Canis lupus familiaris: one gene and its partner. The protein of the gene in region 1 purifies or fractionates together with the protein of each later gene. This does not show direct contact. Links are inferred from orthologs where the notes say so. Each region holds a gene or a part of one and is shown in the gene's direction. Other genes may lie near its edges.

Evidence for each region. The genes of interacting proteins can lie anywhere in the genome.
Region 2: the proteins of PAG1 (region 1) and FYN purify together in Homo sapiens (co-immunoprecipitation; 3 studies listed by BioGRID and IntAct, with this or other methods). This does not show direct contact. The link is inferred for Canis lupus familiaris from reciprocal best matches to the Homo sapiens genes PAG1 and FYN.

The regions. Positions count from the first base shown.
Region 1 is NC_049250.1:28,910,269-28,914,512, reverse strand, and holds the start of PAG1 (phosphoprotein associated with glycosphingolipid-enriched microdomains 1), read left to right. Parts: upstream 1-1,442; 5' UTR 1,443-1,564; intron 1,565-4,244. UniProt on the Homo sapiens protein: Negatively regulates TCR (T-cell antigen receptor)-mediated signaling in T-cells and FCER1 (high affinity immunoglobulin epsilon receptor)-mediated signaling in mast cells.
Region 2 is NC_049233.1:68,719,606-68,723,676, reverse strand, and holds the start of FYN (tyrosine-protein kinase Fyn), read left to right. Parts: upstream 1-1,271; 5' UTR 1,272-1,637; intron 1,638-4,071. UniProt on the Homo sapiens protein: Non-receptor tyrosine-protein kinase that plays a role in many biological processes including regulation of cell growth and survival, cell adhesion, integrin-mediated signaling, cytoskeletal remodeling, cell motility, immune response and axon guidance.

The DNA.
Region 1 (4,244 bases):
CAGGTTGCTGGCCTACTATCACCAGGTTTGTTCAAACACCACCCATCGTCAGACCCATCAGAATTAGCAGAGCCCCAGAGGCTGAACCACATGGGGAGGGCCTGAGAATGTGCTCTGCAATTAAAAAACAATAACCAACAAAAACATTACTCAGGTGATTCTCACACAGCCCAACCTTTCAGAAGCTCTGCTCCAGATCCTACACTATACTTAAGGGTAGTAAGGATAAGGTGGTCCGGTGCTAGAGCACAGCACTGGCATCAACTGGGATCGTGTTAGGAATGAAGGATCTTCCCTTAACGCCTAGGCCTAGTGAGTCAGAAATCTGCATTCTTTCAAAATGCTCAGAAGATTCTGACAAACGCTACAGCTTTGAAAAACCTCTGCTGTTTGTACCCCGGTATCATCTGGAAAGCTTTACAACCTTACTGATACCCGAGCCTCACCCAGGGATTCTCCGGTACTTAAGTCTGGACTCCAGGGGTGCGGTCAGGGCAAAGGGCTCCCACCAGCTTCCCAAGTCATTCTGTAATGTACAGCCAGGTGGGGAGGACCCCTGTCCCCTCAGTGGCAGGCCCTCACGATTAAGCTATACCTGAGCTAACGTGGCTCTTCGGGGCTTGCCCAGCGCCCTGGGGACCCCTGAGAGCACACGGGGCGGGGTGGGGGGTCAAGGACAATGGACTCTGCAGACAAGTTCAACCTCGCGGCTCCAGGGCTCGCAGAACCCCGAGGCGGAGACTTCCTGCGCCTCCCCGCTAGGGAGCGGAGCGGGGCGCGGCGCCAGGCCCCCCCCCGCCCCCGCCCCGGCCCCGCCCAGCGCGCCCCCTCCCCGCCCTCCCCTCCCTCCCTCCCGCCCTCCCCTCCCTCCCCTCCCTCCCCGCCCTCCCCCTCCCCCGTGACGTGCCGCAGCCGGCCGGGATCATGCGCACTGGCGCCCCGCGCCCCGCACGGCTGCTCCGCCTCGGCGCCTGTCATTCTCCGCGGCGCGGCGGCGAGTGCGGACTGCGGTGCTGCGCGCGCGATGTGACCGGCCGCCCGGGAGCCCCCCGGAGGCTCTGCGGGGCACGGCGCCTCGGCTCTCCCGGTGCCGCGGTCCTCGCCGAGCGGCCGTTCGCTCGGAGCCGGAGACACGCGCCGGGGGCTCGGAGCGCCGCGCTCCGGGGTCGGCGGCGCCTGCAGCTCTGCAGCTCCGGGTCCGCGCGGCCGGTGCCGCCGCAGCCGCCGCGCCCTGGCCAGTGCCCCCGGCCCCGGGCGCGGCGGAGCGAGGCGGCTGGTGCAGAGCGGCGGCGCCTAGCCGTGCAGCCGAGCAGCCGAGCAGCCAAGCAGCCGTGCAGCCGAGCAGCCGTGCAGCCGAGCAGCCGAGCAGCCGTGCAGCCGAGCAGCCGTGCAGCCGAGCAGCCGAGCAGCCGTGCAGCCGTGCAGCCGTGCAGCCGAGCAGCCGTGCAGCCGAGCAGCCGAGCAGCCGTGCAGCCGCCCGGGCGGTGCGGGGCCAGCGGGGTTGCGCGCAGCCGAGCGCGGTCCCCCCGCCCCACCCCGGAGGGCTCCCGGTCTCCGCGTCCCGGTAAGTTGACTGTAGTTTCTGAAGTTGCAGGGAGCCGTGCGGAGGGGAGGTGCGTTGGCATGATCGTTTTTGCATGAAGCTGGGGGTGGCCCCCGTGTGTTAGGGGCCGCGCTCGGGCTCGGGGAGGTCGGGGTGCGGAGAAGCGGACCCGGCGCGCGGGGAGAGGACGAGTGTGCGGGTTGGAAACGTGCTGCGGGAGGACAGGTGCTCCCAGGGCGCTTCGCCTGCCGCTGACTGCACGTTCCGAGCTCCTGGACCGCGTTTGGCGGTGGAGGGAGCGTGCGGGGTCGCGTTACCTCTCTCCTGAGCCCTCGGGGGAGTGACCCCTGGACGCGATGGGTCTTTGGGGACGGCAGCCAGCCAGTCCTTGGGGCTTCGCGCGCATCCCACTCCGCTCTTCCCGTAGGCAGAAGTTGCCAGCGTCTCCCTCATTGGAGCCCAGGCGTTTAGGGAGAAAACAAGTTGTTAAGTCAACACGGCGTTTTGTGCCATCAGGCAAATAAAATGAGAAATCCGTCCATCGTCTGTGATTTCGTACATTTCAAGAATGTGGGCAAGTCTCAAAGAAATAGGATTTGGATGATGACACTTGGGTTTCACCCTGCCGGCCCTGCGCCTCTTATATAAGCCTCCCGGCGGGATAACCGTCTCTGCAGTGGCTGCAGCTGTGGCTCTCCCTTCCATTTGTTTAAGGTCCAGCTTGAACAGTATTTAATGAAAATGCTGACATGATATAGCGTTCTTGTAGTCTGAAACAGAGGGCACTCTTCAAATTGGAGTGTCTTCTCCTAGTAGGTAGCATGCGAGGAAGAACCCAGTATATTTTTCAAGGCAGCTCCAGGAATTAGACACATAAATCATGTTTTAAAATAGCGTGCATTGTGCAGAGAGCTTGCAGAGGACCCTTTTTGAACACATCCTCTTTGTTTTAGAAAAAGTGGGAATTGTTCATCCCAGACATTTGTTGAGTCTGAAAGTTAAGTGTACTACTGGTGGGCTTAATTATCTTAATAAAAAAAGAGTATGATTTATGGGTAGCTGTCCTGTCCTGCTTTGAAGGATAGAATTCTAGAACCTTTCTTTTTCATCTGTCCCCTAGAGATTCCCATTAAGTAGAGCAATACATTATCATCATTGATGTTTATTTAATATTTGAGTCAATTAAATTCGTAAAAAGAACACTTTGAAATAAATATGGTATTGCTATGACTTAAGACTGAAGATTCGAAATGAGAATTTTCAGGTTATTTGCTATCAGAGTCATTAGTTTAATGAAACAGCATTAAGCTGTTAATGTTTAACAGCATTAAACACACATCCTATATGTGTGTGAAGGTATATATACATATATATTTGTTTAAATTTGGATTTATAATAAATGTTTAAACCAAACTCAGGGATGTGTCTTAATGTAAGATTTATCTAGGCAATCTTGAGAAAGAGAAGTGCTTTTATTTATGGCATTCCAACACATAGAACAAGATGAGCTAGTTATAGGCCCTGCATTTAAAAACAAATCATAGGTTTTTGAAGAATTCTAGAAAAATATTAAAATGTTATTCCAGAGGCTGAAAAGTTAGTCAACACATTGTGGTTTGTGAGAGCGTCCATTGCTTATGTCTAGAAGAGAATAGATCCAAGCATGGAATGTCGAACAGACTCACCCCCATCAGCACTGTTGCCTTATGGTTAGGAGGGTAGACAGACAGCTCAGCGCCTGACTTGCTTACCATCTGTTTTTAATCTGGGCAAATTAGCTAAACTCCTGCCTCAGTGTCTTCATCTATAAAATGGGGGATGACAGTAGTACGTACCTCACGGGATTATGATGAGGATTAAGTGAGTTCATAGCTGTAAAGCTGTTGAGCCAGTGTCTGGCACGTTAGACTGATAAAATCATCATTACTATGAAAGGGAAATGCATCTTTGGATAACAGGGACATTGGACGGCTGCTTGCTGATGGAGGTTAATGGAAGCAGGTCACATGTATAACAGAAGAGAGAATATGAACATTTATTAAACACTTTCTAGTGATGCACACCAGCTGCTATTTAATTTACTGTCTCCCTCAATTCTTCACTGGGGTGGGTGGTTTCCTCTCCACTTGGGTGATGAGGAACTGAAGCTCAGTGAGATCAGATCGAGTTGGGATTTTAACTGGTTTCTTTCAAATCCTCTCCCTTTTGACCTTGCTGCTTCAACTTGCAAAGTACTTTTTCCATCTATTCTCCTTTAATCCTCATAGTAATAAGATATGTGTATTATTATCTTCAGTTTACAGATAAGGAAATTCAAGTTAAGCATTAAAGTATGCAAAGTGCTTACCAGGACTCACAACATAGTTCTCCAAGACTGGGAGTTATTATTATTACCATAATTATTATTAAATAACTTGCTTGGCCTAGCACAAGGTAGATGTGCAAGGGGGTGAAGTACATTTTCTCCTTTACTTTCAAGTGGATGCCATTGCTTTTTACTTCCCTGTTCATATATTCAGAGAATCAAGGGGGTAAAAGTGATATGTGACAGTTCACATTGGAGGACGGTGCTCTCTGGTTTGTTTCCTGCCTGCAGATGTGGCTGCAGTGACCCACATGGCCTAGAAAACCAGCACAGGCAGCTGTCATCTCCATCCACAAAGAGCATCATACCTGAGCATGAATTCAGTCCCAGCTGGAG
Region 2 (4,071 bases), on another chromosome or scaffold:
TAAATTCTGGTTAAAAAACTAGTGGGCAGGAAAGGTAATATAGATTTTGAGCATAGAATCAGAAGCTAATTCACTTCTATTTCTCAGAACATTAGATTTGCTGAGGGGGAAGGGTAGGGTTCTTGCCAAAAGCACTAAGGAGAATGACTCTGAGCATGCCTTAAAGGAGAATTTTCAGTAAACAGGAATTACCTATAAAGAAAATCAGGAAGCCAACGTGTTTCTTTTTATGAAGTTACATCCTGCCATAGAAAAGCTGGATAGGAAATAAAGACTGATGCACTCCGAACTGTATACTTAACCGGCTATTAGTTCATCAAGGAAAATCTGAGCAAAAGCTGAGATTTGGTGAAGGGGAGGGGGGGGAACCATGAGTAGCGAAATGTCACGAGAAACCAAAGACAACCAACAGCTACAATTATACATGGTTTTGGGGGGAAAAAAACTATACAAACAAATCTCTACTCTGTGATTTCAGATTCCTAAGTCGCCACCTGCCCTCTCCACCCCTCCCCCTATTTCAATACTACTTCTTCCAGGCTTTTGCTTGAAAATAAATGTGTGCGTCCACGGAAATGCAAGAGTAATAGATTAATCTTAATCTCCTCCTTCTCTTTATTATTATTGATATTAACTGTGCGTTTCCAGGGTTCTCCGGGTCTTTCGGAGTTCCTGGGATTGGATCTTACCTTGCTCCACACTCCCCAGTGTGATGAGCGGCAACATCCTCACCACCTAACCCTTTCCCAGTTTACCCTCCCACCTTCAAATGAAAAGGCAGCAGAAGGGCAAGAGAGCCCTTTCTCCAGGCAGGTTCCCCTGGTTTTGGGTGCGGGGGGTGGGGGGGGGTGGGATGGCAGATGCCTTTCTGCAGTGGCAGCTGCAACCTCCCGCAAAGCAGGAGCTGCAGCTCGCACTGTCCCCTCCTTCCCCCGCCCGAGCCCACGACCTCGCGAGTCCACGCGATCCCCCGGAGCACACACAACTCCTCCAGCCTCGCATCCCCTCTCGCAGCCCACTCGGCACGCGCGCCAGGACGCCTGCTGCCACAGTAACGCCCCGCCCACTCGGCGGCCCCGCCCCCGCCGCGGCCCCGCCCCCGCCGCGGCGGCCCCGCCCCCCGCGCCGCGGGCACCAATGGCCGCCGGCCGCAGCTCCGCACGCGTGCTGCGATAGGCCGGCGCGGCCTGCCAGTCTCCGCGCGCGTCCCGCCCCGTCCTCACTCCGGGGCTGGGGCTGGAGGGGCCGGAGCATCCGCGCGAGTAGCTGCGAGCAGCCGCGGCGGCGGCGGCGCGTCCCTGCAGTTGCGCCATCTGTCAGGAGCCGAGCGGCGGGGAGGGGGCTGCCGCGCGGGAGGAGGAGGGGGCGCCGTGAGCGGAGGCCGCCCGCGAAGGCAGAGGCGGGCTGCCCCGGGACGGAGGAGCACGCGCGGCGCTGCAGCCCCCGCGCCCCGGCAGCGCCCGCCGCGCACAAAGCCGGCGAGAGGGATCCGGCCGCCGGCCCGGGCACACGCGGCGCCGCCCCCTCGGCGCCCTCGGGAGGCCCCCGGCTCCCGGGCCCGCCGAGCCGCCTCGGCCGCGCCGGAGGAGGGCGGGGAGGACCATGTGCATGGGCTCCGGAGCCTGAGCGCCGCGCAGGTAAGCGGCCGCGGGGGGCGGGGGATGCTGCGGAGACGCCCGCCCCCGCCCGGCGCTGCAGTCTCGCCGCCGCCGCCGCCGCCGCCTCCGGGGCGCCCCGCGGGGCTGCCGGGCTCCGGGCCGGCGCGGAGCGGAGCGGAGCGGGGGACGCCTCTGCGGGGCGCGGCCCGGGGGGCGCGGGGATGCGCGGGGGGCGAGGCCGGCCCGGGCTCCACCCTCGCCCTCCTTTCGGGGGCCCCCGCGGGGACCCGGCTGTGCGTGTGCGCGCGCGCGCGCGCGCGTGTGTGTGTGTGTGTGTTGTCCTAATGTCAGGGATGATGTAATCACTTAATAATTGATGCCCCGTGCTGCTCCCCTCCCCAGCGCACCCCACCCCTGCCCCACTCCCCCTCGGCCTCCTCCCGCGGCCGTCGCCGTCCTCAGCGCATCCTCCTGCCTATTTCTGGCACCTCCCTAGCACTTCCCCCATCCTCCCCTTCACTCTTCCTGTGCCACCACCCACCCAGCCTCCCCCGGCCCCCGTGCTGGAGCCCTCGGCCTCCTTCCTCTGCCTCCCCACCCCTTCTGCTCCCCCAGGCTCCCTTCTCCTCCCATCCCTGCCCGCTGGGCTTCCTCTCCACTTCCCCACATCGAGGACTGTTTTTTGTCTGGTCGCCTCCGCCGCTCTTATCTCTGCGGCCACAGGCGGAGGGGACCCGGCCAGAAAGAGGCCACCGAGGCTGGGCCCAGGCGGAGATTTGCTGGGACTCCGTGAGAAGAGGGATAATAAAAATCACCCTTCTTGCCCCTCCTCCCCTTAATAAATCACACAGACTCGCCGGGTGTGTGTGTGTGTGTGTGTGTGTGTGTGTGTGTGACACAAAGAGCCCTTTCAGTGCACAGAGAGGAGACGCACAAAGTACCCAAGGATGGGCACGATGATTCTTATTTCTCTTCACTAGGGCTTCCCTTTCTCTCAGATAAAGCAGTTGATTTTCTCTCCGAGAGTCTTTCCTGCCACATTGACCAGAATAAATAAATAAATAAAAGGCCCCAGATGCTGCAGGGTGGCAGGTGCTGTCATTTTGCCACATTCATGGACCCAGTGCTGTTGACTGGCAGCTGCAGTGTTCCTTAGATTTAAGGGGGAAATGATGCCAGCCGTCTCCAGAGTTGCTTCACTGTCAAGGTAGCCCTCCTCTGCCTTGTTTTAACCTCCTCTCTTCGGGGGATAGGTACTCAAGAGCTGGGGTGCAAAACATGGGTGTGGGGGCAGAAGAATTTTGCTTCTGCATCAGATAATTGGCGTTTAGTAAGAGCGAGGCAGCCAGACTTCTTCTCTGAAGTCTTAAGAAATGCTGAAGTCTTGAAATGAAATTTCGTCTGCCCAGTGGTGTTGTGTTGGCCTTATATTTAAACAAGTTTCTGGGGACATCAAAAAAACATGGCCTAAGTTGGTATTTGGAAGACCACTGGAGACCGTGCCTCTTCCCTGCTTCAGAGTAGCCTTCAGACACCCACATCCTTCCTCTCACCACCCAAGCGATGGCAATACTTTCCACCCTTTGTGCTCTTTCTCCTGAGTCCTGATCCCATGGGTACTGTGCTTGCAGATGTAGGGACTCAAAGGCTTTTGGAGGAAGTGGTTTGTTAACTATCTCATGTTTGGGCACACTTAAATGAGAGCAAAGGATGTAGAGAATCTTGTGAAGGAACTTTGAACCATCTGTTTGGTGTTCCTCTCAAAGAGGAAATGTTAATGTAAATCTAGAGGCTTAATGTTCCATTTTGTAAGCCGGTGACCATTACATGCTTAATCGATAATGTGAAAACTTAGTTTGAACCCCATTGATTCCTAAGAACATGGCTCCTTGACTATTGTAAGGAATCCGTTTCAAGTTTGTGCTTCAAGAATTTTATCAGAAAAGAGTTATGATTCACTAAACATTTACTTCTCCACTTTCTAAGGACATTCATCGTGGACCTTTTTATATTAAAAAAAAAAAAGCAATAGGGTTAATGAGTGTACTGTAAAAACAAAGGGTTGTTTGTTTGATGCCAGACCCAGGAAGGAAAGTCAGTGCACAATAAGCTCACACTGTGTTGACCAAGCTAAAGAGACTTAATGATAAGGTTGAATGTGAACAAATGCACACTCTGCTTTCTGTATTTACTCTATGCTTTGTACTGGGTCTGGACTCTCCAATCCCATCTGATTTTCTTGGGTTCTATTTAACCTTTCGGGCTCAGCTCAAAAGTCTGATGCTTTTTCCATCCTCCCCTCCAAACAAATCACCACGCCTCCAATTTTGTTTTCAGACTTCAGCAGTAGGCATTACGTTTGGCATGTCTCTGTTCCCATCATTAGTCGGTCAGCACATTGAGAGAAGGAAGCTGGACTTACTTATCCTATATCAATAAATGTAAATTAGGTCTTTGGTATGTGCCAGGCACC